Oryctolagus cuniculus: one gene and its partners. The protein of the gene in region 1 purifies or fractionates together with the protein of each later gene. This does not show direct contact. Links are inferred from orthologs where the notes say so. Each region holds a gene or a part of one and is shown in the gene's direction. Other genes may lie near its edges.

What was found.
Region 2: the proteins of KPNA1 (region 1) and PHAX purify together in Homo sapiens (co-immunoprecipitation; 4 studies listed by BioGRID and IntAct, with this or other methods). This does not show direct contact. The link is inferred for Oryctolagus cuniculus from reciprocal best matches to the Homo sapiens genes KPNA1 and PHAX.
Region 3: the proteins of KPNA1 (region 1) and RBM45 purify together in Homo sapiens (co-immunoprecipitation; 3 studies listed by BioGRID and IntAct, with this or other methods). This does not show direct contact. The link is inferred for Oryctolagus cuniculus from reciprocal best matches to the Homo sapiens genes KPNA1 and RBM45.
Region 4: the proteins of KPNA1 (region 1) and MTA3 purify together in Homo sapiens (affinity purification with mass spectrometry; 3 studies listed by BioGRID and IntAct, with this or other methods). This does not show direct contact. The link is inferred for Oryctolagus cuniculus from reciprocal best matches to the Homo sapiens genes KPNA1 and MTA3.
Region 5: the proteins of KPNA1 (region 1) and ADNP purify together in Homo sapiens (co-immunoprecipitation; 3 studies listed by BioGRID and IntAct, with this or other methods). This does not show direct contact. The link is inferred for Oryctolagus cuniculus from reciprocal best matches to the Homo sapiens genes KPNA1 and ADNP.
Region 6: the proteins of KPNA1 (region 1) and TCERG1 purify together in Homo sapiens (co-immunoprecipitation; 3 studies listed by BioGRID and IntAct, with this or other methods). This does not show direct contact. The link is inferred for Oryctolagus cuniculus from reciprocal best matches to the Homo sapiens genes KPNA1 and TCERG1.
Region 7: the proteins of KPNA1 (region 1) and ALKBH5 purify together in Homo sapiens (co-immunoprecipitation; 3 studies listed by BioGRID and IntAct, with this or other methods). This does not show direct contact. The link is inferred for Oryctolagus cuniculus from reciprocal best matches to the Homo sapiens genes KPNA1 and ALKBH5.

The regions. Positions count from the first base shown.
Region 1 is NC_091435.1:78,713,303-78,717,412, reverse strand, and holds the start of KPNA1 (importin subunit alpha-5), read left to right. Parts: upstream 1-1,310; 5' UTR 1,311-1,506; intron 1,507-4,110. UniProt on the Homo sapiens protein: Functions in nuclear protein import as an adapter protein for nuclear receptor KPNB1. Binds specifically and directly to substrates containing either a simple or bipartite NLS motif.
Region 2 is NC_091437.1:15,871,549-15,875,793, forward strand, and holds the start of PHAX (phosphorylated adapter RNA export protein), read left to right. Parts: upstream 1-1,445; 5' UTR 1,446-1,508; coding exon 1,509-1,604; intron 1,605-3,488; coding exon 3,489-4,102; intron 4,103-4,245. UniProt on the Homo sapiens protein: A phosphoprotein adapter involved in the XPO1-mediated U snRNA export from the nucleus.
Region 3 is NC_091434.1:63,008,724-63,012,931, reverse strand, and holds the start of RBM45 (RNA-binding protein 45), read left to right. Parts: upstream 1-1,408; 5' UTR 1,409-1,574; coding exon 1,575-1,874; intron 1,875-4,208. UniProt on the Homo sapiens protein: RNA-binding protein with binding specificity for poly(C). May play an important role in neural development.
Region 4 is NC_091433.1:160,050,243-160,054,207, reverse strand, and holds the start of MTA3 (metastasis-associated protein MTA3), read left to right. Parts: upstream 1-1,165; 5' UTR 1,166-3,064; coding exon 3,065-3,092; intron 3,093-3,595; exon of another isoform or gene 3,596-3,756; intron 3,757-3,786; exon of another isoform or gene 3,787-3,805; intron 3,806-3,965. UniProt on the Homo sapiens protein: Acts as a component of the histone deacetylase NuRD complex which participates in the remodeling of chromatin.
Region 5 is NC_091442.1:10,026,920-10,030,959, forward strand, and holds the start of ADNP (activity-dependent neuroprotector homeobox protein), read left to right. Parts: upstream 1-1,240; 5' UTR 1,241-1,246; coding exon of another isoform or gene 1,247-1,361; exon of another isoform or gene 1,362-1,394; intron 1,395-2,246; exon of another isoform or gene 2,247-2,363; coding exon of another isoform or gene 2,364-2,468; exon of another isoform or gene 2,469-3,546; coding exon of another isoform or gene 3,547-3,624; exon of another isoform or gene 3,625-3,797; intron 3,798-4,040. Other genes in the region: DPM1 (dolichol-phosphate mannosyltransferase subunit 1), read left to right, coding at 1,247-1,361, 2,364-2,468.
Region 6 is NC_091437.1:33,946,969-33,951,095, forward strand, and holds the start of TCERG1 (transcription elongation regulator 1), read left to right. Parts: upstream 1-1,327; 5' UTR 1,328-1,406; coding exon 1,407-1,465; intron 1,466-2,061; exon of another isoform or gene 2,062-2,194; intron 2,195-3,839; exon of another isoform or gene 3,840-3,991; intron 3,992-4,127. UniProt on the Homo sapiens protein: Transcription factor that binds RNA polymerase II and inhibits the elongation of transcripts from target promoters. Regulates transcription elongation in a TATA box-dependent manner.
Region 7 is NC_091448.1:62,322,479-62,326,749, reverse strand, and holds the start of ALKBH5 (RNA demethylase ALKBH5), read left to right. Parts: upstream 1-1,471; 5' UTR 1,472-2,254; coding exon 2,255-3,027; intron 3,028-4,271.

The DNA.
Region 1 (4,110 bases):
AACCTGGGTGCAAAATCAAACATGCTAATGCGCTGAAGAGCTGCTAAAGCAGTGAGGATTTCTGGATGCAAGATGTGGAACGAGAGGAGAGCTAGGAGAGGCGAGTCTGACATTTGCCCTCACTTTTCCAAACCTGAGGTGATTGCTGATTCTAAAAACAGTGGCTGAAAAAGTGAGCAGAGCTTTCGGCTGTCTCATGGAGCTGAGAAGGCTCTGTCAAAGAGGAGGAGCCCTGATAAACACTCAAGACTTTCGGTCGGGGTGCTCTAGGACTATGTATGTCTTGGCTATGAGTAAGGGTGAACAGTCACAAAGACGGAGGTTCTGCTTTCAACAACCACCCTCAGCTCCTGATTGGGATAAGGTGAGCTGTCCTCAGCCCGGCTGCCGTCATGCATACTTGTCTCTAGCTCTGTCCCATAGACCACCCCCTCCCCAGCCACCTGGCTCAAACTCAGCCCTGGTCCTAGTAAACACACCATTGCTGGGGGAATGCTGAGGCAGCAGAGACAGATCCAGGACAACTGAGCATTGCATAACTGAGCTTCCAATTAGTGCAGTCCCCTCTCTCCCCACCCTACACCGGGAAATGTATTAATCCACCCCAGCTCTTCCACCTGGCTCCTCAGTGTGTGTTTGAAACTGGTTTGGCAAACTAGGACCTCAGTGAGACTTTTCTGTTCTGTGACCTCTGCTTGACTGGCTGCAGTCTTACTCTTCCACACACACACTCCACCCCCCGCCACAAGCCACTAATCCATTTGCTTCCTCCAAAGAAGAATTTCATCAAATTTAACAGTGAGAGTCATTTGCCCCACAATTTCCGTTTGACAGCGCTTATTGAGAATAAAGCAAGTCATTTCTTCATGATTTTTGACGTCATGCATATATTTTCAGGCAAACAGGATGGGAGAGAACTGAAGAAGGAATACCTAGAAGTTTCCTGCAAACACGCCACAAGGTAACTCTTTAAGCCCTGAGGCGCTGACAACACTTCATTCATTCCATCAGTCATTCAAGAAACACGGACTGAAATTGATACCTGCCTAGTTAGAGGGTAGACGGAGATGAGTGAGGATCGATCCGTCCTAGAAGAGATCAGTAAAGACAGGTTTGCGGACATCACTTTCTCCAACCTTTCCCAGGCTGCAAGCCTGCTCCTAGAAGCCCTCTCCTCTACCGGGAATTCCTCACCCGTTGGGCGCCAACCACTGGGGACTGCCGGTGGGCGACCGTTTGGAGACTACAACTCCCGGCAGCCACTGCAGCGGGTGGTGGAGGAGCTTGCGCAGGCGCGCGGGCCGGCCCCCGCACGCAGGCGCACTGCGAACGCCGGCTGAGCTGGGTCTCGCTGCTCGGTGCGCGGCGGCGGAGAGCGAGGCCTGGTGGGCACCGCCGAAGCGCGGACCGGCTGCTCGAGGTTGTGCGCGTGAGAGAGGCACGGCGCGCGGGCGAGCGAGTGAGCGCTTCAGCTTAGTGGCACCGGGACCGGTTGCCTAGAGCCTGGTGAGTTGGGGGCCCTGCGGCTGCGGCCCCTCCCCCTCCCGCCGGCGGATCCGGGCTGTCCTCGGCTGGACGCGGGAGAGGCCCCGGGGGCGAGGTTAGGCGCCGGCCGTGGGCTCCAGCCCGGGTGCCTGCGCCCAAACCCTTGCGGCGCGTCCGTGCGTCACGGGCCCGGCTTTCTAACGGCCGCGCGGCCGGCGGAGGGCCGAGTGGGGGTGGGGAGCGCTGGTGCGATCGCCATCGGGAACGCCGGTCGAGGCGGGGCAGCGCGGCGGTAGCGGCGGCGGCGGCGGCGGGGCTGGAAGCGGCGCCGGGGACTGCGGGACGCCGAGGCGGCGGGGCGGCGTGAGGCGAGTGCGCAGCCTGCGCCGCCGCCTGGCGCGGACGGGCGGGCGGGCCGCGGGTGGGCGCGAGCGCGGAGCGCGATGACAGGCAGGACGGGGCAGAGATGCGTGTGAAAGCCTTCCGCGGGGCCGGGCGGGCTCCGTGTGCGGAGTTCCCAAGTTGGAGCCCGGACCCGGGCCGGGGCGGGGCCGGGGCCGGCGACTGCAGTTTCCCGGTGTCACCGCGGCAGGGCCGGGCCGGCTCGGCGGCCGGGGGTGTGGTAATTATAGGAATGACAGAACTCGGGCTGCGCGGCGCGTGCGAGCGGGGAGCCCGGCACTGGCGGCGGGGTCGGGCGGAGAGTGCTTCAAGTTACTTGAAAGTTTCAAAATAGTCGTCTCTGATTTTTAAGGTCTAAATTCAACAGTCGCGAAATGTTTTCGTTCCAGAGCCTGCTAGTTATTAGGTAGCTTTTCCGTTCGTGTTTCGTAAACGGCCCCTTCAAAATCTTGACTATGTAAGGGAGGCAGATAACGCGATTTTTCCATCCCTGTTGCTGCTTCAAGCCTCATTCTTGACATTATTTTCTTAACTTTTTTTTTTGCATTTCTAATATTTTGGAAGTACTCCACAAGTTATTGTCCCACCCCCCTTATAGATTTTGAAGAGATGAAAATTTGATTTTTCAAAGGAAAGTGAGGATGAGCGCTATTGGACTTTTACTGAAATAATTTATTCTTGACACTGTTTTGTGTATGATTTTAGGATGGAGGGCGTGAGAAAGTAAAGGAGTTGATATTTATTGAACTCCTTTCTGTGTAATGTACACAATTCTTAACATTTTTATAAAGATTTTTGTGTATGGATTTGAAAGAGCTGCGGGAGGGTGCGGGGGCGAGAGAGATCTTCCATCCACACACACTGCAATGGCCAGGGCTGGGCCAGGCTGAAGCTTGGAGCCAGGATCTTCCTGGCCTCCCACGTGGGTGCTGGAGCCCAAGCACTTGGGCCATCCTACACTGCTTTTCTAGGCCATTGGCAGAGAACTGGATGGGAGGTGGAGCAGCCGGGTCCCCAAGGCAGCCAAGGCAGTGACTTTACCAGCACCACAAGGCCCACCCCATAGTAAATTTTGAGTAGCTGTTAAATTTTTTTGCTTTACAGATGAAAAGGCATTGAAGGTCAGAGAAGTTAAGTAACTTGTTTAAGAGGCAGCACTCATTGGGACTAACCTTAGAACCCAAAGTCACTGCCATTTTAAGAATTGGTTCTCTCCTTTCATAACTTCTGAGTTGTGTTTTTCGATTTAATCCATTCATTCTGTGGAGCGATTTATGTGACTGACACTAAAGATGTAGTAATGATCATGACACACTTATCTCTGACTTCATGAAATTGATAGAGTAGCAGAGAAGGCTAACAAGTAACTAATGCAGGTATTGACTACATGGCATTTTATCAGTCATTAAAATTGAGCAGATTTGTAAACCACTAAATAGCAAAGGAAGTTCAAATGGAAGCAGACAAAATAAGCCTTGAGGAAAATTAGCCTGTAGGAAAACAAAGCATACATTTAGAGAAACTTAGAGTAAACTAAATGACAGAAATAAACACATCGCCTGAAGTCAGTACGACATTGTGTTATTTTCTAAAGTGGTCCTCATAGCGTTTTTTCACAGAAGCATGATTTAATATTCCGTTCTTTGACTTTATCTAGAGTTAATATGTGAATGCTTCCAAAGATTTCATGAAAAGATGGAATTAAAAGATTGATTTTACAAAAAGAGTTTGAGGGGTGAGCATTGTGGCACATCAGGTTAAGCTGCTCCTTGGAACACCTGCATCTCATGTTGGAGTGCTGGTTTGAGTATCCGCTGCCATGTTTCCTGATAGTGCATCTTGGGAAGCGGTGGATGGTAGCTGAAGTGTTGAGATCTTTCACCATTGTAGGAGACCAGGATGGAGTTCCTGGTTCTTGGCTTCAGCCTGGCCTAGCCCTGGCAGTTGGCGGAGTGAACCAGTGTGTGGAAGATCTCTCTGTTTCTTCCTCTCTCTGTCACTCTGCCTTTCAAGTAGATGAAGGTGAATAACTAAACATTAAATTTCTTTGAAATACATTCATAGTTTTTTCTTTGATAAGCACTTTCCATGGGCATTTTGAAGATCCCTCCCAAAAGGGACCATGAAAAAAAATACCACCATCCAAGACACTTTCTTATTTATTGTTCTCTATAAAATACAAACCTTAGAGACATTCTTCTTAAGACCCCGGTACTCGCTAGA
Region 2 (4,245 bases), on another chromosome or scaffold:
GAGAACTGCTCCTTGACAATGTGTGATGCCTGGGGCCGGCACTGTCACACAGTGGGTTAAATCGCTGCCCAATGCCAGACCCCTCACGGGCACCACTTCCAATCGAGCTCCCTGCTAATCCGCTGGGGAAGGCAGCAGAAGATGGCCCAAGTGCTTGGGCTCTTGCCACTCATCTGGTAGACCCGTAAGAAGCTCCTGGCTCCTGGCTTCCTGGCCTGGACCCGCCCCAGCCACTGCAGCCATTTGGAGAGTGAGCCAGTGGATGGAAGACCTCTTTGTCTCTCCCTTCTTCCATCCCTCTGCCTCCGTAAAATGAACACACACATAAATATTTTTTAAAAAAAAGAAGAAAGAAAGAAAAGAAAAAAAAAGGGCCAGCATTGTGGTGCACCAGGTTAGAAATTTAAAAAGGAATTGCAAAGAATCTGGAATAGCTAAGATATTTTTTCCAAAAAAACCCGTATAACTTTAACATTATTTTAAATCTACAGTAATCAAGCATCACATTGGTTGGTGTAAAACAGGCATAAAGATCAGCGGAGCAGAATAGAGAGCACAGGAAATTCAAAGAGGAAAAAGTAGTCTTTTCAACAAACAGTGGTCTACTAATTGGACAGTTACACATACACACACACGCACACAAATCCAGATTCTTGACTCTTATTGCAAGCCGTATATAGTAATTAACTCAAAACAGACCACAGACCCAAAAACGTGAAAACTTCGAGAGAAAACACAGGAGAGCATCTTCGTTGCGGGGCGCTGTTGTGTGCATTATAGGATGCTGAGGTGCAACCCTGGCCTGGCCCCCCGTGTCAGCATCACCCCCAACGCACAGCAACTGAAAAGATCTCCAGACGACGCCAGACGTCCCCTGCAGAAGGAAACAGCCCCAGGTTGAAAAGCACTGGGCTATTCTGTGCCCCTGGGACACAAAACGCACACAAGGAAACCACCCATAAAGGAGACTTTGCATCATGGCTCCTCAAAGGACACTGATCAGATGTGAGAGCGAGCCACAGACACGGAGGGAGCAGGGTACAACTCCAATCAGATCAGATGTTCAACAAGGGGTCTCCAGAGCAGGGATGCCATGCTTATAATTCAGTGAAAAGGGAAAAATTCCGACGTTCAACACGAAGGACACACGCACATGCCAAACAGCGGGTAGAAGATACTCAGCAGCACCGCTCACCAGGGAGGTGCGGCGGTGCGCGGGCACCCGGGCCTCGAGGGGCGACGCCTCCTTCCGGGTGCACCTGCCCGGGGCAGCCGCACCCGGGCCTCGAGGGGCGACGCCTCCTTCCGGGTGCACCTGCCCGGGGCAGCCAGGCCACGCCGGGACCCCCGGGCCGCCGCCCCCGCACACACGGCGAGGACGGGCTCGCAGGCGGGAGCCCCGCGCCCCGGCCTTCACGCCAGCTGCCGCGCCGCCGGCTCCCGCGCGGGGGCGCCCGAGCGGCCGCCGCGCCGCCGGAAGTGCTCTCCCGAGCGCGCGCCGCGGGAAGATGGCGCTGGACGCGGGCGACATGGAAGATGGGCAGCTCTCCGACTCGGACTCCGACATGATGGTCGCGCCCAGCGACAGGCCGCTGCCAGTGCCGGTGAGTGCGGAGGGCGGCCGGGGGGCGCGCGGAGCCCGGGCCGCCAGCCTGGAGGCGGGCGTGCAGCGGCGGCGACTCCGCCTGCCAGGCCGCTGGTCGTGGTGTAAAAACCCAGCGGCGTCCCCGGCCTGGCGTCGCTCCGTTGTCCCGGAAGGGCCGAGACCCGGGGCCGTCGGCCTGGAGCAGCCCGCGCTGCTCATCCGGGCCCCGCGGGGTGAGGGGACCGTGGCCCGCAGAGCCCGCCCGCCCGCCCGGCTTTGTCTTGCGGGGCCGCCGGGGTCCCCCGCCGTCCGGCCCGCCTGCGTCCCCCGGGCGTCGCGCCGCGGACGCGGTGGTCGTGCGGGGCGGGGGCGCGGCCCGCACGCAGCGACTCGGCCGACGTCGCCCTAGACGCGGGGACGGACTCCTGCGGGACTCGGCCGCCGCCGGCCCGGCTGCTGGCGCTCGCGGGAGCCCGGCGCACGCGGAGTTCGTGTCGAGTCCCGGGTGCCGAGGGAGCGTGAGTTCTGGAGCTCCGTGCATTGTGTGCTTCCAAGCAGCTGGAGACGGGGTGTGCGGTGTTTCACCGCGCACAGAAGTTTGAGGTGCTGGATCTGCTCAGAGCTCTGATTCGCAGCTCACTCGGTGTAGACTACACTGCAGAACCCCACCTTGGACGCCAGGGGGTTGTGAAGTTGTTATGTGGCGGTAGTTATTTTTTTTTTTTTTAAAGCACAGGTGACTCCTTTTGCATATAAATGCCCTGGGAGTTAATTCCGACACAATTTGTTCTCAGTGGTTTTACCTAAATTGCTCCGTGACTTGGTAAACTGGCGTCATGAACTCTGCAGTTTTAGGATTGTTAGGGGGACAAGGTACTGGGTAAACTCCCTGCCTGCCACGCGGGCATCCTGTATTGGCGTCAGTTTGAGTCCTGCCTGCTCCACTTCGGATCCAGCTCCCTGCTAAGGCACCTGGGAAAACAGCAGAAGACGGCCCAGGTGCTTGAGCCCTGCACGTATGTGGGAGACCCGGATGAAGCTCCTGCTTGGAAGATCTCTCTCAATACGTCTGGCTTTCAATAAATAAATCTTAAAAAAAAAAAAAAAAGTGATATCACGGGTTCCTCCCGGTAGGAGTTTGCCTTCTAATCCAAAGGGAAACAATCATTGAACCTTATGGAGGAAGTTGGTGTGTGTACAGCAAGGCGGGTATCTGTGGAAAGAAAGAAAACAGTTCTAACTGCCAGTAGCAAATTGCGTGTGACATTCCCAGGCATTCTGACAATAATGGAAAAGACGAAATCTTCTGAAAGTGAGAACTGAGAGCTCTGCTAATTTCTTAAGAGACCTTAGAATTAAATGCTGCATTAGCTGTAGAAATAAGAATGCGTAGCCTTTTTTCTTCCAAGATTCATTTATTTATTTAAAAAGCAGAGAGACACATCTTTGATCTACTGGTTCACTCCTCAAATGCCCCCAATAACCAGGGTGGGGCCAGGCTGATGGCAGGAGCCCAGAATCCCACCCAGGTCACCCACATGGGTAGGAGGGGCCCGAGGACTTCGGCCATCTTCTGCTGTCCTTCCAGTATATTAGCGGGGACCTGGATCAGAAGTGGAGCAGCCAAGACTCAAAGTAGGCACTCAGATACGGGATGTGAGGTGTCCAAGATAACAGCTTAATCATTGCACTTCACAACGCCCATGCCAGGTTTTTTAGCTTTATATTTGGCAAATTCCATAAGCATTGGTTTCAGAGATGTTTTTGAAGACAATTTTGTTCTAGAATAGTCCAGTTGAGTCTCTCTCTCCCTCGCTCTTTATTTTTTTAAGCAGCACATGGCGGGTGGAATACATGGCGGAATGTGTTTTGTGGAACTGACCGTGTCTCCTCTTGCTTGCAGAAAGTTCTAGTAGGGGGCAGTGCCGCGAGGGGCTTGCAGAGTCCCACAGCAGCGGGTGCACCCGCGTCACATTACCGGACTGTTAAAAGTGTGGATTCAAGTGAAGAGAGCTTTTCTGATTCAGATGATGAGAGCTCTCTTTGGAAGCGCAAGCGACAGAAGTGTTTGAGCCTGCCTCCCAAGCCAGAGCCCTTCCAGTTTGACCAGAGTAGTCAGAAGCCCCCCGCCGCCGGAGGAAAGAAGGTTAACAACATCTGGGGCGCCGTGCTGCAGGAGCAGAACCAGGACGCCGTGGCCACTGAACTGGGCATCTTGGGAATGGAGGGCACGATTGACAGAAGCAGGCAGTCAGAGACCTACAATTACCTGCTGGCTAAGAAACTCAGGAGGGAATCTCAGGAGCACGCAAAAGATGTAGACAAGGAGCTAGACGACTACATGCATGGTGGCACAAAGGGGGGGTCGAAGGACGAGGAAAACGGGCAAGGGCATCTCAAGCGGAAGCGGCCCGTCAGAGACAGAGTGGGAGCCAGGCTGGAGATGAACTACAAAGGCCGGTACGAGATCACGGAGGAGGATTCTCAGGAGAAGGTGGCCGATGAAATCGCTTACAGGTGAGCAGCTAACTCGGGCCTACCAATGCACGCTCGACCCAGCTCTGTTCTGTTGTTGGAAACTCAGTGTGCATTCATGATGGCAAACGCATTAGCAATGTTGCCTTGAATTTTAATTACTTGGTTATTTTGCTTAAAGAACT
Region 3 (4,208 bases), on another chromosome or scaffold:
TTTCTTTTTTTTTTTTTTTTTTTTTTAAGATTTTATTTATTTATTTGAAAGAGTAACGCAGAGAGAGGAGAGGCAGAGAGAGAGAGAGAGAGAGAGAGAGAGAGGTCTTCCATCCAATGGTACACTCCCCAATTGACTGCAACAGCCAGAGCTGCGCAGATCCGAAGCCAGGAGCCAGGAGCCAGGAGCTTCCTCCAGGTCTCCCACTCGGGTGCAGGGGCCCAAGGACTTGGGCCATCTTCTACTGCTTTCCCAGGCCATAGCAGAGAGCTGGATTAGAAGTGGAGCAGCTGGGTCTCGAACTGTCGCCTACAGGGGATGCTGCTGCTTCAGGCCAGGGCGTTAACCCTCTGTGCCACAGTGCCAGCCCCTCCCAGTCCACTTTCAAGTCCTTTTACTTAATTTCAGTGTCACTGCTAACTGCAGATGTTACTTCTGGGTTTCTGGTGGCTCTCTGCTGACCTCTCCTTTACCACCTGTTTACATGAAGACTTAGAAGTCAGAAGGAACTTCCCACTTTTCTTGCACCCTAAGTTTCTCCTAATTCCACATCTCTCTCCCCTTGAACCCCAGGGGTGCTTGATGGAGTTGAGGTGATCAATAGATCAAGTTGGTTCTGGTTTGGGCTCTGTTACTTGTATCTCTGTTACTTTGAGATATGCTATGGGCCCTGGTTTCTTTGTCACTAACAAACGAGGCTGGGATTGGGTAAACTCAAAGGTTCCTTTCAGCTCGAAGGTTCTACAATTTTATCTCTACCCTATAGTGACCTCCTATTGAACTTATGGCCAAGATGGTTATGGAGTCTCTCCTTTGTCCAAAACCTGGGTTCCCCAGAGTCCTCTGCTCAACCAGGACCAACCCTGGGCTCTAAGCCTTTGTGGAATACAGTTGGGGCAAAATCCTGCTAAATGAGTTTAGTGAAAATCCCCTCTCTTGGTGTCTAACCACCATCAGTATTTTTTCACCCTGGCTTGCATTGAGTGAGAATTCTGTTAAACCAGTCTAGCAAGAATCCCCCTTGCTCCTGTTCTTTCCTCTTAGCAATTTTCCATTCACTAACCTCCACCCTGCTCCTTGGTTATAAATCCCAACTTGTCCTTACGCTCTCGTTAGAGTCAGAACTGAGTCCAATCTCTCGCCTGCCGCATCACAGTCCATTTAAATAAAGCCTGCCTTACCATCTTTAATAAGTGTCATAAATGGTTCTTTAACATTAGCAAGTTTGGGCAACGAGTCGTTCGGTTTGGGGTGGGGTAAAGCCAGCGTAGAGAAAGTCTGTGCACCAGGCAGGGTTGTTGTGGCCGCAGGGAACAAGGACATCTGGGCCAGGGCTCAGAGGGATTGGAGACTTGGGCCGAGTGCGGGTCCTCCGCGGCGCCAGGTGGCGCTCCAGGCCCCGGAAGCCGGCGCCGTGCGCGGCTGGACAGCGCCTGACGCCGGACTCCGGCTTCCGGAAGCGGAGCGCCGAACCCGCAACGGCAGGTTGAACAGCAGCGGCCGTGGCGGGCGCGGCAGCAGCAGAGACTACTGAGGGGGACCCCGGCCTGGCTCCCGCGCCAGGGGGGAGCACGATGGACGAAGCCGGCAGCTCCGCGAGCGGCGGAGGCTTCCGCCCGGGCGTGGACAGCCTGGACGAGCCGCCCAACAGCCGCATCTTCTTGGTGATCAGCAAGTACACTCCCGAGTCGGTGCTGAGGGAGCGCTTCTCGCCTTTTGGCGAGATACAGGACATCTGGGTGGTGCGGGACAAGCACACCAAGGAGTCCAAGGGCATTGCCTTCGTCAAGTTCGCCCGCAGCTCGCAGGCCTGCAGGGCCATGGAGGAGATGCACGGCCAGTGCCTGGGCCCCAACGACAGCAAGCCCATCAAGGTGCGGGCGCTCGGGTCTGGGTGGCCGCGGGGGCACAGTCGGGGAGGATGGCGCCGTCGGGCCTCCCTTCGCCTGGTGCTGTGCCAGGGCGGGAGAGGGCAGGGCGCCCGCTCCCGGAGCCCGTCAGGCAGCACTCGACACCGACTGGGAAGCGGGCTTCTAGAAAGAGGATCCCGTCCCCAGAGCCTGCGCCGGGGGCCGGGCGGGCGGCCGTGACGGCTCGGGAGGGGCAGTGGCCTGGCCTCCCCACTCCCAGCGGTCACTGGTTCCCCTGGACCGCTCTGGGAACCTGGCCGAGGCCCTCGGGGGTACGGCGTCTGAAGTCACTCTGTGGGGCTTAAACGCTTGGCAAAAGTGCGGATGTTTAAACCGTGGCCGTCTGTGTTGGGCGTTTTCCCAGGACAGACAGAAGTGTGCATGTGTGCGATATTAAATGCAGATGGTTAAAATGCTACGATCCGGCTTTCATCACACTTTAGTGATTTTAACAATTGTTCCAAATAAGCCCTGTTTGTGAGGATGTGAACACGGTGCATTCGATTCTTGACTGTTATTCCCACTTTGCTTCTAAAGCGGATTGAAGTCAACTGCCTTGAGCAGAGCCAGATCGCTGTGGTGGTCTCTTGGGCTTTGCATTATTATGCTGATTGTGTTAGTATATGGTGGCATTTATATGAAGTGTCTACACGTAGTACTGTGTAAAACTAAGGTAATAGCGCATGGCAGGAATGGTAATTTCAAGAAGTATTTGACTTAATTCAACCTTTTAGTACAGTGCTGCGAACAAGGTAACCCTCAATTGTATTTTTACAACTATTCTGTAGTAGTCAGGATGTCCCCACACTGAAACTTTCTTCTTTAGCCACCAAAACCTAAAATGCTCATTCTCAAAGAGAATTAAGGCTTCAAATCTGTTTTCCACATTTTTGCCCACTGAGTTTCAGCCAGGATGTTATTCTGTGCTACCGACTCAGACCATCCGGCTTGGGCAGGCTGTCTTCCTTCTCCTTTCCTTCCTTCCATTTGGCTTCAATTTTTCTCAAGTTAACGTTGCTTTTGCAAAGTTCCAGAGAATCTGCAAGTCAAGAATATTGCAGCACCAGGCATACGACCAGAAAACATTTTACAGTTAAGGCATATTCTATGTCAGGCTCTGTTGTCCTGAAGGTATAGGTCAACTTGGAAAACAGAAAAGAAAAATCTTTGTTTTGGCTTTGAACGAATGTCTCTTATCTAGAACCAAAGAGTGTGTATCATCCACGAAGGTAAAAATCTGTTAGGAGAAATCTTCCTTTAGGAGCTTGATTATTCTGCATGTGTTTTACATCGGTACTGTCTCATCAAAGATCAGAAACACTGAGCTCATGGCTCCTCCAGCCTCATCTTACCTGGGGCTCTTTTTTCCTTCTGTGTCTCTGCATGTGCTTGAAGCTGCCCTTTTTGTGTTTCCCCGTTGACCATTCATTACTGAAACATCACTACATTCAGTCTCTAAGGGCGCTTCTGGGTTCTCAATAAAACTTCCTTCAAAGCTTGGCATATAAGCATGTGGTGTGGCTTTACTGAAGGAGTGACTGGAAGTAGGTTATAGGTAGAGCTGTATCTCCAACTTCATCTTCTACAAAAGAATTTACATCTCTGTGACAGGCTGTTTTCCAAACAAACAACTGTTTTGTTTTTTTTTTTCCCACATGGCTCCAGTGTTCTTGTTTCAACATTTATAAAATCCCATGGCTTTAAAATTTTATGTCCTTTTGATTGCTATGTCCTACTCCAGAATTTCTTAAGTCCAAGTTAACTCATACTTGAATGACATATAGCCCCTCCTTCTTAAATTTTAAAGAAAAATTTTAAAAAAGCTTCAAGTTGGCCGATGCCACGGCTCACTAGGCTAATCCTCCGCCTTGCGGTGCTGGCACACCGGGTTCTAGTCCCAGTCGGGGCGCCAGATTCTGTCCCGGTTGCCCCTCTTCCAGGCCAGCTCTCTGCTGTGGCCAGGGATGTGGGCAGTGGAGGATGGCCCAAGTGCTTGGGCCCTGCACCCCATGGGAGACCAGGAGAAGCACCTGGCTCCTGCCATCGTATCAGCACGGTGCGCCGGTTGCAGCGCGCCGGCCGTGGCGGCCATTGGAGGGTGAACCAACGACAAAGGAAGACCTTTCTCTCTGTCTCTCTCTCTCACTGTCCACTCTGTCAAAAAAATAAATTAAAAAAAAAGGCTTCAAGATCCTGTGGGTGTACAATGGTTTAATTTTATTACACTATTTATATTATAAAAAAGTGAAGTTATCCATTAAACTTCTCATGTTTATAGCTGTGTAATAAATGCACAGT
Region 4 (3,965 bases), on another chromosome or scaffold:
AGCTTAACCCGCTGTGCCACAATGCCAGGCCCTTATCTATAGCTTTTACACAGCATCCATTTCTTTTCAGCTAACTGGTGAGATTCTGGAGTCCAACACAGGGAATGTCCTGGGGTTTCAGATAATCCCTTCTATAAACAACTTCTTCTTCCTCTTCCTCCTCCTCTTCCACTTCCTCTTCCTCCTCCTCCTCTTCTTCTTTTTTTAAGATTTATTTATTTACTTGAGAGGCAGAGGCAGAGGGAGAGAGGTCTTCCATCTGCTGGTTCACTTTCACTCCCCAGATGGCTGCAATGGCCGGAGCTGAGCCAGGGACTTCTTCCCCATCTCCCATGTGGGTACAGGGACCCAAGGACTTAGCAGGCCATAGCAGAGAGCTGGATCGGAAGTGGAGCAGCCAGGACTTGAACTCGCACCCCTATGGGATGTTGGCACTGAAGTTGGCCGCTTTACCTGCTATACCACAGCACTAGTCCCCCTCCCCTCCCCCTCCCCTCCCCCCCTCCCCCTCCCCCCTCCCCCCTCTCCTTCCCCTCCCTACCTCCCCCCTCCCCTTTCCCCTCTCCCTCTTCTTCCCCTCTTCTCCTCCTCCCCTTCCTTCTTTTTAAAGACCCGGAGCTTCTTCTGGGTCTCCCACACTGGTGCAGGGGCCAAAATTCTACTGCTTTCCCAGACCATAGCAGAGAGCTGGATTGGAAGTAGAGCAGCTGGGTTTTGAACTGGCGCCCATATGGGATGCTGGCACTTCAGGCTAGGGCGTTAACCCGCTGCGCCCCAGCGCCGGCCCCCTGGCATTTTTTCTTTCAGATATTGAGAACCTAGAATGTAGAGGACACTGTGTAGGAGCTGGAGGAGTGGGAGACACTAAGAACAACAGAATCTGGAGGAAGGAAAGAGTTCCAGGTCCAGCCGCCATTTCCCCAGTCCCCCTGCCCCCCAACCTCACCCCACAGATCTCTGAGGCCTTTCATGGGGGGCTTCTGGATAAATTGTTCCTAAGGGGAGGAGGTGGGTGTGGATGTAGGGAGTTTTCTTGGCACCTTTCACCGGTTTGTTGTTGTTGTTACAGTCATCACAAACACCTGGCAAGGAGCACCGAGCTAGGGAAGTGAGACTGGCAGACAAGGAACCAGCAAAAACACAGACATGGGCATGAAGGCGGAAAAATCACTCATTTATTAAAAACATAACGTGAAGACACCCTAAAGCTTGTGGTCTGTGTCTTTGCAATTTATGGTTTCCAGGTGACTTTTTCCCTGGGAGAAAGGCTTTATGGTCCAGAGCTTCCTAGGTCGGCAGAAGCGGCTGAATTACAATCTCGATCACGCTGCCAGTTCACTGTATGACTCCAGGTGAATTATTCCACTTATTTGTGTCAGCTCAGAAACGGAGAGAGTGATGTCGGATATGTCACAATATATTTTTGGTGGTATCTCCAGTAAAAGGATTATGATAAACAACAGCCACGCCATGTGCATAGCAGAATACTTTTGCTTTCTTTGCTGGGTCACAAGAGCTGACAGGGCTCACAGTTGACACATGGCATAAAACCCCTGGGAATCTGAGGCTTTCTGGGGTTAAAAAGAAAGCGGAAGACACCTGCTATTTGCTTGGTGCTTTCTGCTCCGGTTTACAAAGCATTTTCAGATAGCATCACAACGGATCCTTACCACCTGTGAGGTGGAGTTAGTGTCCCCATTTCATAAAAGAGGAAACAGGTCACGGAGTCAACCAATGTAAGGCAGGCAAAGTTGTTCATTGTTGTATTATTCTCACTTTGCTTCAGCTGTCCAGATAATTATTTTTTCACTTCAACATCTTTTGATTAGGGGCCACGGCACAAGATAAGGCAAACACAGACTTTTCTGGGAACACCTCCTCTTCCAGCATAGGCCTCAAAGTCACAGTCAACAGCCACACAGCTGTACATCACCAGACACTCCCAACAACCCGCAACCATCAGGGATCATTGTTGTGTTTATTCTGCAACAAAGTCTGGGAGTAGTAGATTGGCTTGCCTAAAAAAAAGTATTTGTGTTCACTTGGGGGATGGCCAGCTAAGACTCAACTTTATCTTTTTGTTCCGAGGGTGCCAAGGATTTGAAAACAAGTTGTCCAGAGAATTAGCATGAGAAAATGACCATTTAAAAGGTTCAGGCACAGAACTAGTTAACTGTCCATCATCAACAACCTGACAGTCTGACAGTCTCTCCTCCTGGGAGGTGGTGTGGGGAACTGTAGGGCCCTTGGACGAAGGGCGCCGCTAAGTCTTTTTTTTTTTTTTTGCAATGGGGCCTAGTTACAGACAGGGTCTCAGGGTGTCCGGGAGTGGGTTCTGTTCAGCCTAGTTCTGGGGTGAATGATGACGTCCCCGCCATCGCAGTTAGGGCGCACTTGGACGGCAGCCAGTTTTTCCAGTCCTGGCCCAGCTGGGTCTCTGACTGGGAACGCCTGGGGTCTGTAACAACCTTCCCAGAGGAAGGTGCCCTGCTGCCTGCACTTATTTGTATCCAAGACTTTGCAGCGAAGCTTGCACTGGTGCTGCCTTGCTTAGGGTCGCACATGCTGGGGCTCCCCGGGGACAGAGCAGGGAAGGAGAACCTGTCTAGCGGTGGGCAGGTGACGGGTTACTCAGGGTGGGGCAGGAAGCGCTCCAGGGAGGCTCAGCCTCTGTTCCCACCCCAATCTCCAAGGGCCCCCAGCCCGCAGTTGCCAGTGCAGGCTTCTGCGTCGGCCAGGACTGGGGCCCTGGGGTCCTCCACTCGCAAGGCCCCTCAGCCTCCCTCCCTGTCCCCCGGTGCCCGCAACCCGCAGCGCTGGGGCCTCCCGGGGCCTCCCCCAGCGCGGCCCACTCGGTTTCGCTCGCCCTGCGCTGGGGGCGGACGCCAGCCCCCAGCCCTCGGCGTCCCCTCCCCTTCACTTCCCCCTCCCCCGTCCTCTCCCTTCCCCTCCCCCCCGTGGCGAGGCGGCGAGGAGGCGGCGGCGGCGGCGGCGGTCGAGGCTGAGGCGGCGGCGGCGGCGGCGGGCGGGGCTCGGCTTGGGCTCCGCGGGCGGGCGGGCGGACATGGCGGCCAACATGTACCGGGTCGGAGGTAGGAAGGCTCGGCCCGACCCGGCCCGTCTTGGGGGCGGGCTGCGGGAGTTGGGGGGTCGCGGCGAGCGCAAGCTAACCGCCGAGAGTCCTGGGCGCCCGGGCTGAGGGCGCAGGGAGGGGGGCACCGGGGCCCTCAGAGGGGCCGGGCTCCCCACCCCCACCCCTCCTCCTCCCCCCACGGTGGCCCGCAAGGGGCCGGGGACCAGCAGCACCCCCATACCCTGTCCAGGTTTTTAGGAACAGGCCTCTACTGGGGGCATGAATTACCAGGCGCCCCCCTCCATGGAACCCACATGGGGGCAGGGCCCGTCGAGCCCCCTGACTGGGTGGCCTTTTCCTCGCGTGGCTTCTGGGTATTGGGGGCCGGGGAGGATGGGGGGACATCTTCCTCCTCCTCTCCTTCCCCTGCCCTTCAGTCGGAGAGTGGGGTGGGGGTGGGGGCGAGGGGGCCCAGCCAGGGTCCCCGCTGGACAGGCCTGTTGGCGGGGCCGGTTCCTGCACCTCGCCTTCAAAGCCTCCCCTTGCGTTTCTTGTCCGGCCCCCCAAGATTGGGGTCTAGCAGGGGCCAGGAACCGCAGCCAGAGGTGGGGAGTTGAGCTCTGCCCGGACGTTTGCTCTCCTGTCTGCCTCCTTCCCAGCCTTCTGCGGAAGAGAGAAATAAGGTCAAACAAACTTTCTCCCTACTCACGACGCCCTCCTCCCTCTTTCCTGGTAAAATAATAATTCAGATAAGTGGCGTGTTTGTGTGTGAGACGAGCTCTTCTCTGCTCGTTAGCCGAGCTCCTGATGGATGGTGGTGGGAATGGCTTGGCTAAATGAGGCCACTTTGCAGAAGAGAGAGCCGCTAAGATAGACAATAACAACGCAGTCC
Region 5 (4,040 bases), on another chromosome or scaffold:
ACTGAGGAGATGCAGTCTGGCATAACAGCCATTTAACAGCAAAGAATACCTGGGTCCTAATTCTATTTAAGGAATCATTTGCTTCACACTTACGATTTTACTTACTTTTAAAGATACTGTGGGAGAGCAGAAGAGAGAGAGTTGGCAGTGAGGAGAAATTAATGTCTTGGTATAAGATGACTCTTCAAAGAATTCATAGCCTAATCCCAATTTTGAAGGCAGTACCAAGATACTGTACCGTTACTGTCTTTCCCACCCAAATCCCAATCCTCCCTCTGCACTTAACATCATTTGGTGTGTTACGTCTTTACTCGGTTTTTAGTTTACTCCAATATACTGCTGGCTGAATACTTGTTGTTTGAGTAAATATTGCTAATGTTATGTTCTCAACTTTCAATAGTTTTTCCAAATTTCTTAAAAGAATCCTTGCAGAATCTGTATAGATAAAGGAGTGTGTACATTAAGCTCGCTCAGGTTCTTCTAAGGGCTGTGCTGTTGTCTGATGCCCACTCAAAAGCCTCTTGAAAAGGTAGAGGAGCCTTGGAGGAAGCTTAGGGGAAACTATGAGTTCAGAGACGACCCTTGGGCTTTGTAGCTCTGAGTGGCCTTACCCTCGAACAGAACAAAGTTATACTAAACCGCTCCTCCTGGTTTTAGTTAAAAATTAAATAAAAAATAGTATAAATTACTGCCTTCCTACCCACTGAGGCTCTAAACAGATTCATCCTAGAGAGACTTCGTCTACTCCAGGGAGTTTCCTGAGGAAGTGTTGGGAAATAGAACTCGGGCGCACATGTTGATTGGGGAATGCCTGCTCCTGAGCTCCGGCCTGTCTGTGGCGCACTGCTGCTCCACCGTCATCTGTCAGCTTGGCTGTTCAATAGTTAGAACAGTGTCTCCTCTTTCAACTTGAAACATAGTTTAAGGCAATAAAAAAAATTAATGGGAGGTCCTTTATCAGATTCATTTTATCACAATTTATGATTGTGTAACAGGAATATGATTCTCTAAAAGATACTGAGAGTTCATTTTCAAAATTACTCCAAAATATTTAGGAAATATTTCATGGCCTTGTTCAAGACAAATGTATCACAGTCGTCAACTGTCTGAACATTTCTGCATTCCAATGGCTAGTGAAAGTTTGAGGCTTTATACATACCAGTGAACCTTTGTTTGAAAGTGCAGGACCCGTGTACACAAATGAGTGTGTTTATATAGGTGTTTACTATTTTCTGGTTTCTTACAGATTATATCGAAAAGAAGTTCTACAAAAGTTGATAGAAAAGTGCGTTTCTAAAGGCTACGTCTTCCAGATGGAGATGATTGTTCGGGCCCGGCAGCTGAATTACACCATTGCTGAGGTACGCAGCTGGCACCAAGTAACATGCCACATTCTGAATAAGAGAAAGCAACAGTAAGGTTTAGATTTCTTATTTAAAAAAAAAGTAACCTCCATAGCTATGAAGTTAATAGAGCCTACCAAGATTTAAGTAGAAGGAACTTTCCTTTCAAATGATGGAAAGTAGCTGGCACCTCCTGCGCCCCGGTGCTACCTTGTGGTCAGCGTCACGGGCTGAATCTGCCGCCCTCCCTCATCAGCCTGAGGCCCTGAACTGCACACTGAGGCCACTGCGGCCGTTCCCTGTGAATAGACCAAAGTGGCCAGAAGCCTGGCGCGAGGTGCTGGGACATTCACAGTAGTCAGGACTGGCTAGTGAGCTTTCTGCAAAGACTTCATTTAAGACGAAAACTTAAAACAAGAAAACAGCGTCCCTAAAATGCTAGTTCTCTTGTAGAAGTTACAGGATTTTTTAACTTACTGCTAAGTCACAGCAATGGCTAAAAGAGGAGGGTCATTTTACAGTTTTAAATTTGTACTTAATTTGAAAGGCAGGGAAATGGAGACAGAAGATCTCCTATCCTCTGGTTCACTTCCCAAAATGCCCAAAACAGCGAGGGCTGGCCAAGCCGAAGCCTGGGTTTCCCAGGGGGTGGCAGAGACCTGAGCGCCTGAGCCGTTTCCTGCTCCTGCCCAGGATGCACATTAGCAGGAAGCTGCAATCCCAAGCGTTGCTGGGACTGGCCCTGGCCGGGGTGTCCCGAGCAGGGCCTTGACGGCTGCACCAGACTCCATGCACGTGGCTTTACTTGGCAATAGGATAGTTCCCTGAAACCTGCTGCCTCACAGCTGGCCCTGTGTAAAGACCGGAGCTGCAGAGCTCCCAGGTCTCCACTCCTGACCTTACCTGAGAACCCAGGACTGCAGGACTCAGCCTTGGTCTGTTGTGTGAGTCACGGCGGCCTGCAGCTCTGGACGTCCTGTCTGGTGTCTTGAAGACTGACTGTACTGTTTTCTCAACTAGGTTCCAATATCATTTGTGGATCGTGTTTATGGTGAATCCAAGTTGGGAGGAAATGAAATAGTCTCATTCTTGAAAGGATTATTGACTCTTTTCGCTACTACATAAAAGACGGTTGCTCCTTTGTGCTTACCATGTTCATGTGAATGTAAGCAAGAGAGCAGCCTGATTACTGCTGTCTGTAAATGTACTCTTAGAGCATGAAGCAGAAGGGAAGGTGAATCCCATGCAGATACATTTTGTGGAAAAGCTCCATTTTATACTAAAAATTAAACAATTTCAAATTTACTGGTTGAATGGGCAATGTTCTCCACTTTGATTTATGTTTTGCTGTATTAAGACCTATGAATAAATGTATATGGATTTTTTTTGCATAAAATATTGACTTCATTAGAGCATATGAATCCAGAATTTCTTACATGAGAAAGTGAAATATTCCCTATATAACCTGGAGTCGTAGTTCTTTATACCTAGATTGTACCAGAAGATATAGGTTAAGAACATTCATGATTTCTGTATGAATTAAAAAATACAGACATCTAGCCTTTCCTTAAAATAATGTCTCCAGCTTCTCACAGCAGATTAAAGAGGACACTTGGAGCACACTGTTGAGTTGGGTTCTTTCTAGCTGCTGAATGGGGAGCCGTCTGCCAGTGAAGTGTGCAGCGTGTGGACTGGGAGTTGGAAGGAAGCGGGGCAGCAGTTAACTGCACAGTGTCTGTCTTCTCTGTTGAGCATAACCTCTATCAATAAGGAAGTACTGGTAACAGGCATAAACGTAGCAGTTACAGCGATTTTTACACATTTTACTGAAAACATTTGTTTTCATGCTATTTCAAGACCCTCCACCGAGCTCCTGTATCCTTACTAATATGACAGAATCTTCCCAGTAGCTCATATCTCCTGTCAGTTAAACTGCTGGGTAAGTTGCTCAGTAAGGCCAGGGCGAAAATCCCACTTACCAAGCTTCTCTAAAGCAGGTATTGAACCACAGAAATCGTAGCATAGCTTTTGGCTCCTGTAGTGTCTATGAAATGAGTAATGACAGTATGCTTGAGGTCAAGTGGACTTTTCTTTGTAAATAAATGTCTCAGCTATTTGTCATATTTAGTGAACAGGGATCCTAATAACTACATTTTCCTGAAGGCCTTCCGTTTTCATTTGTGTTTCTCTCTGACCCTACCAGAAACGAATACTAGACTTACAAATGCTTTGGCACCATTTTGAACATAAATCCTCTTCGTCTTCATCGTTGAACCTGTAATACACATTCCAGTAAGAGCCACCACTGTTGTATTCCCTTTTGCCCAGAGCTGTTCAGCTGGCCCACCAGGGAGCCTGGGGTAGTGACTTTTCCTCATCAGTAGCAACTGGAAAATTAATTAGTGCTTGTAAACGTGGTTTTGAGTTGTAATAATAGAAGTGTGATATCCTCAAGTGTCTGGGATATATTTTCTTTACCCTAAACCCAAAGTTAAGTGTTTAGTGTCCAGTATATGGAGCAGAAATGAGATAACCCCGAGACCCTCGGGGCGCTCTCCCGCCTCCCTAGACGAGCGACTGCCCTCGTCACAGACTCTGTGGGCGTGCGAGTGCGGAGTGCGTGCCAGCAGGGACGCTCTCGCACCGCTGGGAAACCACTTAGGAAGGAACCTGGACTATCTAGATGCCTTTGGGTGG
Region 6 (4,127 bases), on another chromosome or scaffold:
GCCTTCTGGTTAAGGCCACGCTTGCTACTTACTAGCTGTGGGATTTGGGGCAAGTTACTTTTCTGCCTCATTCTTATATATTAACTGGCTATGCATATGACTCACTTCTTGTTTTGTTGTGTGTTTTTTTTAAACATTCTTAGAACTGTATCTTGAAGCTACATTTAATCTGTTAAAAACTGAAAAATAAAAAGGAAATGTAACTAAAAAAATTAAAAATTCATTAAAAATTTTTTTTATTTGAAGGGGAAAGAGGGAGAGACAGACAGAGACATCTTCCATTCTCTGGTTCACTCCCAAAATGGCCACAGGTCAAAGCCAGGCACTCAGAAATCCATCTGGGTCTCCCACGTGGTGGGGGGAGGGCATTGGACCATCATCCTCTGCTTTCCAGAAAACTGGATGGGAAATAGAACAGCCTGGACTTCAACAGGCACTCTAACATGGGATGCTGGCGCTGCAGGTGGCAGCTTAACCTGCTGTGTCACAACGCTGGTCCCATGGTGGTGGTGGTTTTATTTTTTTAATTGTATGGAAAGTACTGGTATACACTGTTAAGTCTGAGTAAAATTTATTAATGCTTTGAGCTCTTTATTAATAGGTTTGCTTTCATCTTGTCTTTGCAACTCCAGAGCCTCAGCCGTCTTTTCCCCTTTAATCGAAGAATAAAAGAAATATTTAGAGTTCTTTTTGGGTAGCAGGGTGTGCCAATTTCAGATAACTGCATTTTGAGATTGAAGGAGGACGCTAAGGCTGTGTACTGCTAAGAGGCTGGCTTCTCCAATTTACTTTTTCAATAAAGCAACTCAGAACACCCATCAGATGCAACTAATTAGTACAATTTTAGGAGGTCTTCTTGTAATCACCAGATATTATTTCATAAACTGGATACACAGCCGAGTGCTGACTTAAGACTCCAATAAGTCAAATAGCGAAAACTCCTTCCGCCTCAACTCTATGATTGGTTTAGGCGCGATCCAGGTCTTTTTTGATTGGCTCACCCCGTGGAAATGCTTTCGGCCTGAGCTACTAGTGGCCAATATGGCTCCACAATTGGGTCTCCTGGAAGCCGGCAGACACGTGGCTACTTCACGCTGGGCGAAACGTGGGAGGACCTAGTTTCGCTTACCGCGAGAGGGCGCCGGTGGTTCCTCTTTGCTAAAGTCTCATTTCCCATAAAGCCTCCGAGCGACCAATCCTCTGGCTGTCTCCATACCGCTTTCAAAGTCGGCGGGTCCTTTGTCCAATAGTAAAGCAGATACCGCCTCCACCTGGAGGATGGATAGAAAGCTTCACCAATCATCTCATAGACTTCCGCTATCTCCGCCTCTCTCGCACGGGATTGACGATCCTTCCGGCCAATAGGTGGCGTCGGGTCGGCGGGTGGATGAACGCGGCCCTCTGTAATGGCGGAGCGTGGCGGGGACGGGGGGGACGGTGAGCGATTCAACCCGGGGGAGCTGAGGTAAGGGGCGCTGCCCTCTCGCACATCTCGGCGCGCTGGACTCCCAGTGGCTAGGCCTGCTCGTGGAGATCCGGAGCGGACGGTGGGCAGCAAGGACGGGGCGGGTTGGGGCCAGAACCGCATGGGGTTAGAGAAGGGGGAAGGGAAGGTGGCTTGAATGAGAGCCGGGCCGGGGCCGTGCCGCGCGGCCTTCTGCGCGGTCTCGGGGTGCTCCCTGCGGCTTCCGCGGGGCCCAGTTGTCCGTCGCGGCCTGCAGGCCGGGCCGGGCGCTCCCGGCTTGGAGCCCCACCTCAGCCGCGTGCCGCCTGGGCCTCTGCCGCCCTCCGCCTGCCTTCCCGGCTCGGCTCGGCCGCGGCCCGCTTCTCCCCATCGACGTCCCTAGGCGGTGCGGTTAACTCCCAGGGGCCTCTCCCGTCTCTGGCTCAGCCTTCTCCACGCCCTCCGGGCCGTCCACGTTTGCTGTTTGATCTCGTCCCCCACCCCCACCCACTTGCCTTTCTTAACTTCCTGTGGCTTGTCTCCCTCGGTCTCTCTCTATCCCTCCGTATCCCGGAGCTGTGAATAACAAAAGCGGCAGCGGGGGGTGAGGCGCTTACTTGGGGCTGTCTCTCCTCTCCTGCCCGAGCCCACCCGCTGCAGGAATTGGTGCTCCGGCTCTGTAGGCCCCAGCGCCGAGGGCCCTTCGGCCAAGTTGCTCGCGCGGCTTACGGATGAGGAAACCGAGCCTCGTAGGGGTTTGAGTGCGGGGTTAAGACCGCTTGGGTGGAGCAGGTTAAGCCGCGGCAGGCAGGCTATGGACGTGCAATTTCGGGTAATTCTGTTCTTCTCCTCCACCCCCCCCCCCCCCCACCCGTGCTCTAAAAAAGGAGCGCAGTGACCTTCCTTCCTCGGGAATTCAGTGCCTGCGGAGTTTGTCGTTAGAGTTTGATAAGAAAAATGTGACCAGGATAAAAAACAAGCAACAAGCCGGTTTTTGAGGGGATGGGAAAGAGGTCCTGTGCTTGATGTATATCTAGTGTACTTTCTCCCCACCCCCCCACCCCCGCCCCGATGGGAGAAATGTCATTTCAGATGTTCAGCTGACATTCTGAATTGTGCCGTTGTCAGCGTTTAAAATTGAAAAACGCAGTGGAGATGATGACGAGTCTAATACTGTCCAGAGCTTATTGTTAGAGTTTTAGGAGAAGATAATGTCTTTCAGATTCTGCAATGTTAGGCACAGAAATTTCTACTTTGGCAGTACTTATTTCAGAGGTAGTTCTTAAGCCCATCAGCCCCATATGCACAGTGGTTAATGAGTGAACAAAGTGGGTAGTGGGTATCTTCCAGTGTTAATGGTGGAGCTTGTTCTTGATGCTGATCTCAGAAGATTACTGCTTGGCTAGTCTCAGATGGATTGATTAGGTAACATTGTTTTATGTTTCATGGAGTGTTTTCAGCTGTACAGTCATAGCCTTTTAGACTATTTGTAAACTAGATATTGCAAAACTGATTTAGGTAGGGCATTAGATTAGGTGTGCTGTTGCAGGTAGTTTAGCCTCTTGGGTTGGAAGTTGCAGAGCGTGTGGATAGACCTTTGTTTTAGCATTTATCATGATTTATGAGAAATTAGCTGTTCATGTGTTCTGTGCTGGCAGAAGTTTGGACTCAGTCTTTATAAAAATCTATCCTGGATGTATTTCGTGGCTGTGTCTATCACAGTGGCAGACAGAATAATCTATAGATAAATAAATGAAGACAGGAGACTTAGAGGTGGTACCCTTGCTGGCCTGTGTTCATGAGGCAGTTACAGACCTGGATGCTGGCAGTAGATCCTGAACCAAATCATGAGAGGCCTTTGCTCTCCCCTTTGTTTCCATTCTAATTGAGACTGATCCAGATTCTGAACTAAACCAACCACATGAAATGAAAAACCCAATGTGCAAGTTTGAAATGACTTATCCAAAGTCGATGGGTAGTGGCCAGGGTTTAGACTGAAACTTAGGTCTCCTTACTCAATTATTGTAATTTGCCTCCCATGTACATCTTGCCCCTCCAGTTAAAGTGTTTGCAGTCTAGTTTTCACCATTGAGATTGCCTATCTATATAGAGCACTCCTAGAAAAATGTTTGTATTTCCATGGTGTTCTTGTGAATTTTTGTTTGTTTGTTTCTAGTCTCATAGATAGTCTTTTGCTTCCCAAAAAGGTTTTAAAGCAGCAGGAAGTACAATAGATGGAAATTCAGAGATCCAAATGCCATCTGTCCCTTTATGGTTGAGGGCCATTAAAGTAACTTTCAAAGTCATGTTTATCTAACACATACAAGTTCCCATCCAGTGGTTCACAACTTGATTCATGTCTCCACTACTTGAGCCATTATCACTGCCTCCCAAGGTGTACACTAATAGGAAGCTGGAATGGGGAGCAGAACCTGGAACTGAACCTGGACCCAGGCACTCGGATTTGGAATGCGATGTTCCAGCTGCCAGCTTCATTGGTCCAGCAGAGGCCCACCCAGTAGAGTCATATTTACATGGATCCTTAGGGTATGTGTTTTCCTATTAATACTTAGGACGTGAAGTACTTGCAGTCTAGATTTTCTTGCCTGTAGAAATGAGAGTAAGAATACCCTGCTGTTAACTATTGACCAACTGTCTTAAGCAAATTGTTTTTCTGTGCTAT
Region 7 (4,271 bases), on another chromosome or scaffold:
AGCTGGCTTGGAAGCGGAGGTGGGACTTGATCCCAAGCATTCGATGTAGGATACAGGCGTCCCAAGCAGTGGCTTAACCCACTGGACCACAACGCTTGCCTCTAGACGTACATTTGTGTAAAAGCTCATTTTATTCAACTTCTTACAGTGTGCCCGGCTCTGTACATAAAAAAAAAAAAAAATCAATTGCATACTCAAAACACGCCCAGTGAGGTGAGTGCTATTACCACCACTGTACATAGGGCCCAGAGAGGTAGAACAACTTGCCCAAGGCCACACAGCCAGCACAGGGGTCCAATGACGATTCAACCCCAGGCAGCTTGGCTCGGGAACTCGCGCTGTCCCCCAAAAAAGACGAGGAGGAAACAAGTGATTCTCATCTCGGCCTGGATGAGCTGAGCTGTGTCCACAGGTGGCTCCGAGAAGGCCTGCTCTTCATAGAAGACGGGGCAGCATAGCGGTTAGAAGGTACTGGAATCCTGCAGGGCCAGAGGCAGGCCACATGGCCCCGCCCACTGGCCTCGTCCTCACTGCCCGCGGCCGCCTCCCCACACCTGCACCCCACTGGGCTACACCAGGAAAGGGCAGGGGCCCGATGGACTGTAGGTGACTCGGTTCTCCCCGGCTCAGGCTTGCTGCGCCAGGTGGCCAGCGTGGAAGCAGCGGCCAGGGTCCCAGGTGTCTGGGGTTTCACGACCTCACGCCGCCTTCTGCTCAGCCTGGTCATGGCCAAGAATCCACTTTTCCAACACAACAGACTCAGGCGCCTCTCAGTGTACAGACGGGGGGCGGGGGGCTGAGGCCCGACTCAGCAAGCCCCGTGCCTACCACGCGGGAGCAAGGGCTTGCACGAGGCCCCTGAGCGCCAAGCACAGCGGCCGACCCTCGCCCCCCAGCCCCGGCCTGGGGAGGGGCTGCGGCTGGAGCCGCGGGGCGCACCTGCGGCTCGCCCTCAGCCGCGCACACGGGGGCTGCACCCGGGAGACGCCGCCCCGCACCCCCGGCCCGGCGCGCCCCCGCCGCCGCGCACGCGCCCGCCGCCGCCGGGACGTGACTCGCGGAACGTCCACCCCGGGCAGCGGCGGCCGAGGCGGCGCTGGGCGTTTTCCCCCCACGAAGACGCGTGTCCCAGCTTCTTTGGCAGTCGCCATCTAGGCTCGGGGCCAGCAGGGCCTGGCGCTCTCGGCCATACGTTCTGAGCAAAGTTTCCGTTGCTTTTAGAAGTTTTCTGAGGCGTCCCGAGGACTTTCCTCAGGCGTGGGGGGGCGGGGTGGTGGTGGTTTCCGTTTCAGGCACTTAGGTAGCCACCCATCCGCTCTTCAGGGGTCCTCGCTTCCCTCCCCGCCGCTTGTTCAGCGATGGGCGCGGTAGCCAAGGAGATGGCCTGATTGACAGGCATGGCTACCAACCGGCCTCTGGAAACTCCAGTCCAGGCCCGCCCCGCGCGTGGCTGGCGGCCCAATGAAAGAAGCGGAAAGGCCAAAAGGGGCGGTCCCAGGACGGCCTAGGTTGTGGCGGTTCCCCGGTGATTGCGCGCCGGGGGCTGAGGCGCCTCCAAGGCATTCGGACGATGCCGTGACGCGGCAGGGCGACAGTGTTGACACCATCAGCAAACCCCTGCAGCGGGAGCTCTCCCCGTCTCGGAGGCGGCGTGGCGTGGAGGCAAGGTTGCTATTCGAAAGCGCTCCCTCAGCGCCCCCCTCAGCGCGTGGGGGAGGGGCGGCGGACGACGAACGGGGAGGGCCCGCGTCTGCGCCTGCGCGGGCCCCATCGGCCGGCCCGGCCCGCACGCACGCGCATGCTCATAGCGCGCGGAGCCGCGGTGGCCGGCGCCACTGCGCCTGCGCACCGAGGAGCCCGCTAAGGAGCGGCGCTGGCGGACGTCGGGCGAGCGGCCCGTGACGTCGTGAGGAGCGCTTTAAAGTGCGGGCCGGGCGGGGCGTCTGAGGGTCTTGGGGGGGAGTCGAGCGGCCGTTCGCGGCATGAGGCGCTGCCGGCGCCCCTGCCCCCCGGGACGCGGAGAAGGTGGTGGAGGAGGAAGCGCCGTGGCCGCCGCAGCCGCTGCATGACCCGCCGCCCCTGAGGCCCGACCCCGCTCTCGGCGCCCTCCGGTCACGCATGGAGGCCCCTCGCTGAGGACCCCACCCCCCTTTCCCTCCGGGGGTCCCGGGCCGCGTCCCCACCCCTACCCCTGAGAGCCATGCCCGGCCGCCCCGCCCTTCCCGGAGGCCCCTAGAGTCGCGTCTTGGGGGCCATGGCGGCCGCCAGCGGCTACACGGACCTGCGTGAGAAGCTCAAGTCCATGACGTCCCGGGACAACTACAAGGCGGGCAGCCGGGAGGCCGCGGCCGCGGCCGCCGCCGCCGCTGTGGCCGCCGCCGCCGCCGCGGCCGCCGCCGCCGAGCCGTACCCGGCGCCCGGGGCCAAGCGCAAATACCCGGAGGACTCGGACCCGGAGCGCAGCGACTACGAGGAGCAGCAGCTGCAGAGGGAGGAGGAGGCGCGCAAGGTCAAGAGCGGCATCCGGCAGATGCGCCTGTTCAGCCAGGACGAGTGCGCCAAGATCGAGGCCCGCATCGACGAGGTGGTGTCCCGCGCCGAGAAGGGCCTGTACAACGAGCACACGGTGGACCGGGCCCCGCTGCGCAACAAGTACTTCTTCGGCGAGGGCTACACGTACGGCGCGCAGCTGCAGAAGCGCGGGCCCGGCCAGGAGCGCCTGTACCCCCCGGGCGACGTGGACGAGATCCCGGAGTGGGTGCACCAGCTGGTGATCCAGAAGCTGGTGGAGCACCGCGTCATCCCCGAGGGCTTCGTCAACAGCGCCGTCATCAACGACTACCAGCCCGGCGGCTGCATCGTGTCGCACGTGGACCCCATCCACATCTTCGAGCGCCCCATCGTGTCCGTGTCTTTCTTCAGCGACTCGGCGCTCTGCTTCGGCTGCAAGTTCCAGTTCAAGCCCATCCGGGTGTCGGAACCCGTGCTCTCGCTGCCTGTGCGCAGAGGGAGCGTGACTGTGCTCAGGTAACCCGGGAGGAGGGGGCCCGCCCGCACCCCTCGCCTTAGCCACCGACCCCGCTGGCGGCCAATAGGAGCCCTGCTTGCCTTTTTTTTTTTTTTTTCCTCCTTTTGCAGGTCCAGCTGTGTGTGTGTGTGGCTCCCGGGGTGGAGGGGCAGGGGCTGGGGCCTTACACAGGAGCAGGGTCAGGAGCCCGTGTGTGGATCGGTCCCCAGAACAGCCTGGCTGAGACTTTTCAGGCGTCTTCCTAGAAAGCTGTTAGCGGGCCGTGTCCCTTTGTGATCGGAAACAAGTCACTTTTCTTCTGTTCTGGGCTTCCATGTCCAAATCTGAGCTTTTAAAAAGGAAAAAAAAAAAAGTTGGGTTTAGGATCCGAAAGTCTTTTCCTGCTCCGCCGCTCCTGGTGTCCGTAACAGCGAGCGTTAGTGGATGCCTTAGCAGAGGAAATACTCAGGGGCAAAGGCTCCTGAGTGTCTAATTGGTACCTGTTCTCCACTCCCTGGAGGGCGAGCGGCTTCCCTGGAGCTGAAGGGATTAGGGGTCGGGCCGGGGGCGGAGAACCTGCTACCTGTTAGCAGGATCAGAAGAAAACAAACGGCAGCTGGCCGCCGGGCCGTGTTGGGTCTGGTCGTTACGGGGCAGCCGAGCCCGGGCTCCGGGCCTTGTTTGCAGTCCCAGTCCCGCTGAGGACTAGCTCGGGGCCACGGCCCCCAGAGTAGACCGCCTGCGGAAGCCCCTTCGCTGTGGATGAACTGTGAAAGGGTGATTGGCAGCTGTCTCCTCCGAGCCCTGAGCCCCGCGAAAGGCAGCGTCATCTGCAGAACCTCTTAGGAGGCAGGTAGAGCCAGACTGCAGCTGGGGCGAGTGCCTGGTTGCCCACGGCCAAGTAAACAGAGGATCAGGCGCGCTGGGGTTTGGCCTCGAGCCGCTTAACCCCCGAAGCGCGGGTCCCTGGAGCCCTGTTAGCATCATGAGGGCAGGTCCTCCATCTGGTGGGAGGCGAGCACCTGAGGCTGCTTCCCTGATGGGCTTACCTGCCGTGCCTCCTTGTCCTGTGGGCCCCTGAGCTTCTCAGACCGGTGCAGTCTAGGCGGCCCGGGCAGACCGTCCCAGAGGAGGGCAGGTTGGGGTCTGACTGTGGACCGGCTCTCACTGCTAAGGGAACTTCACGCAAGCCAGGGACCGGCGGGTCTCCAGCTGCTCGTCTGCCTGCAGAGCTGTCCCCAGGTCCTGCTGCGGCGTTAGTGCA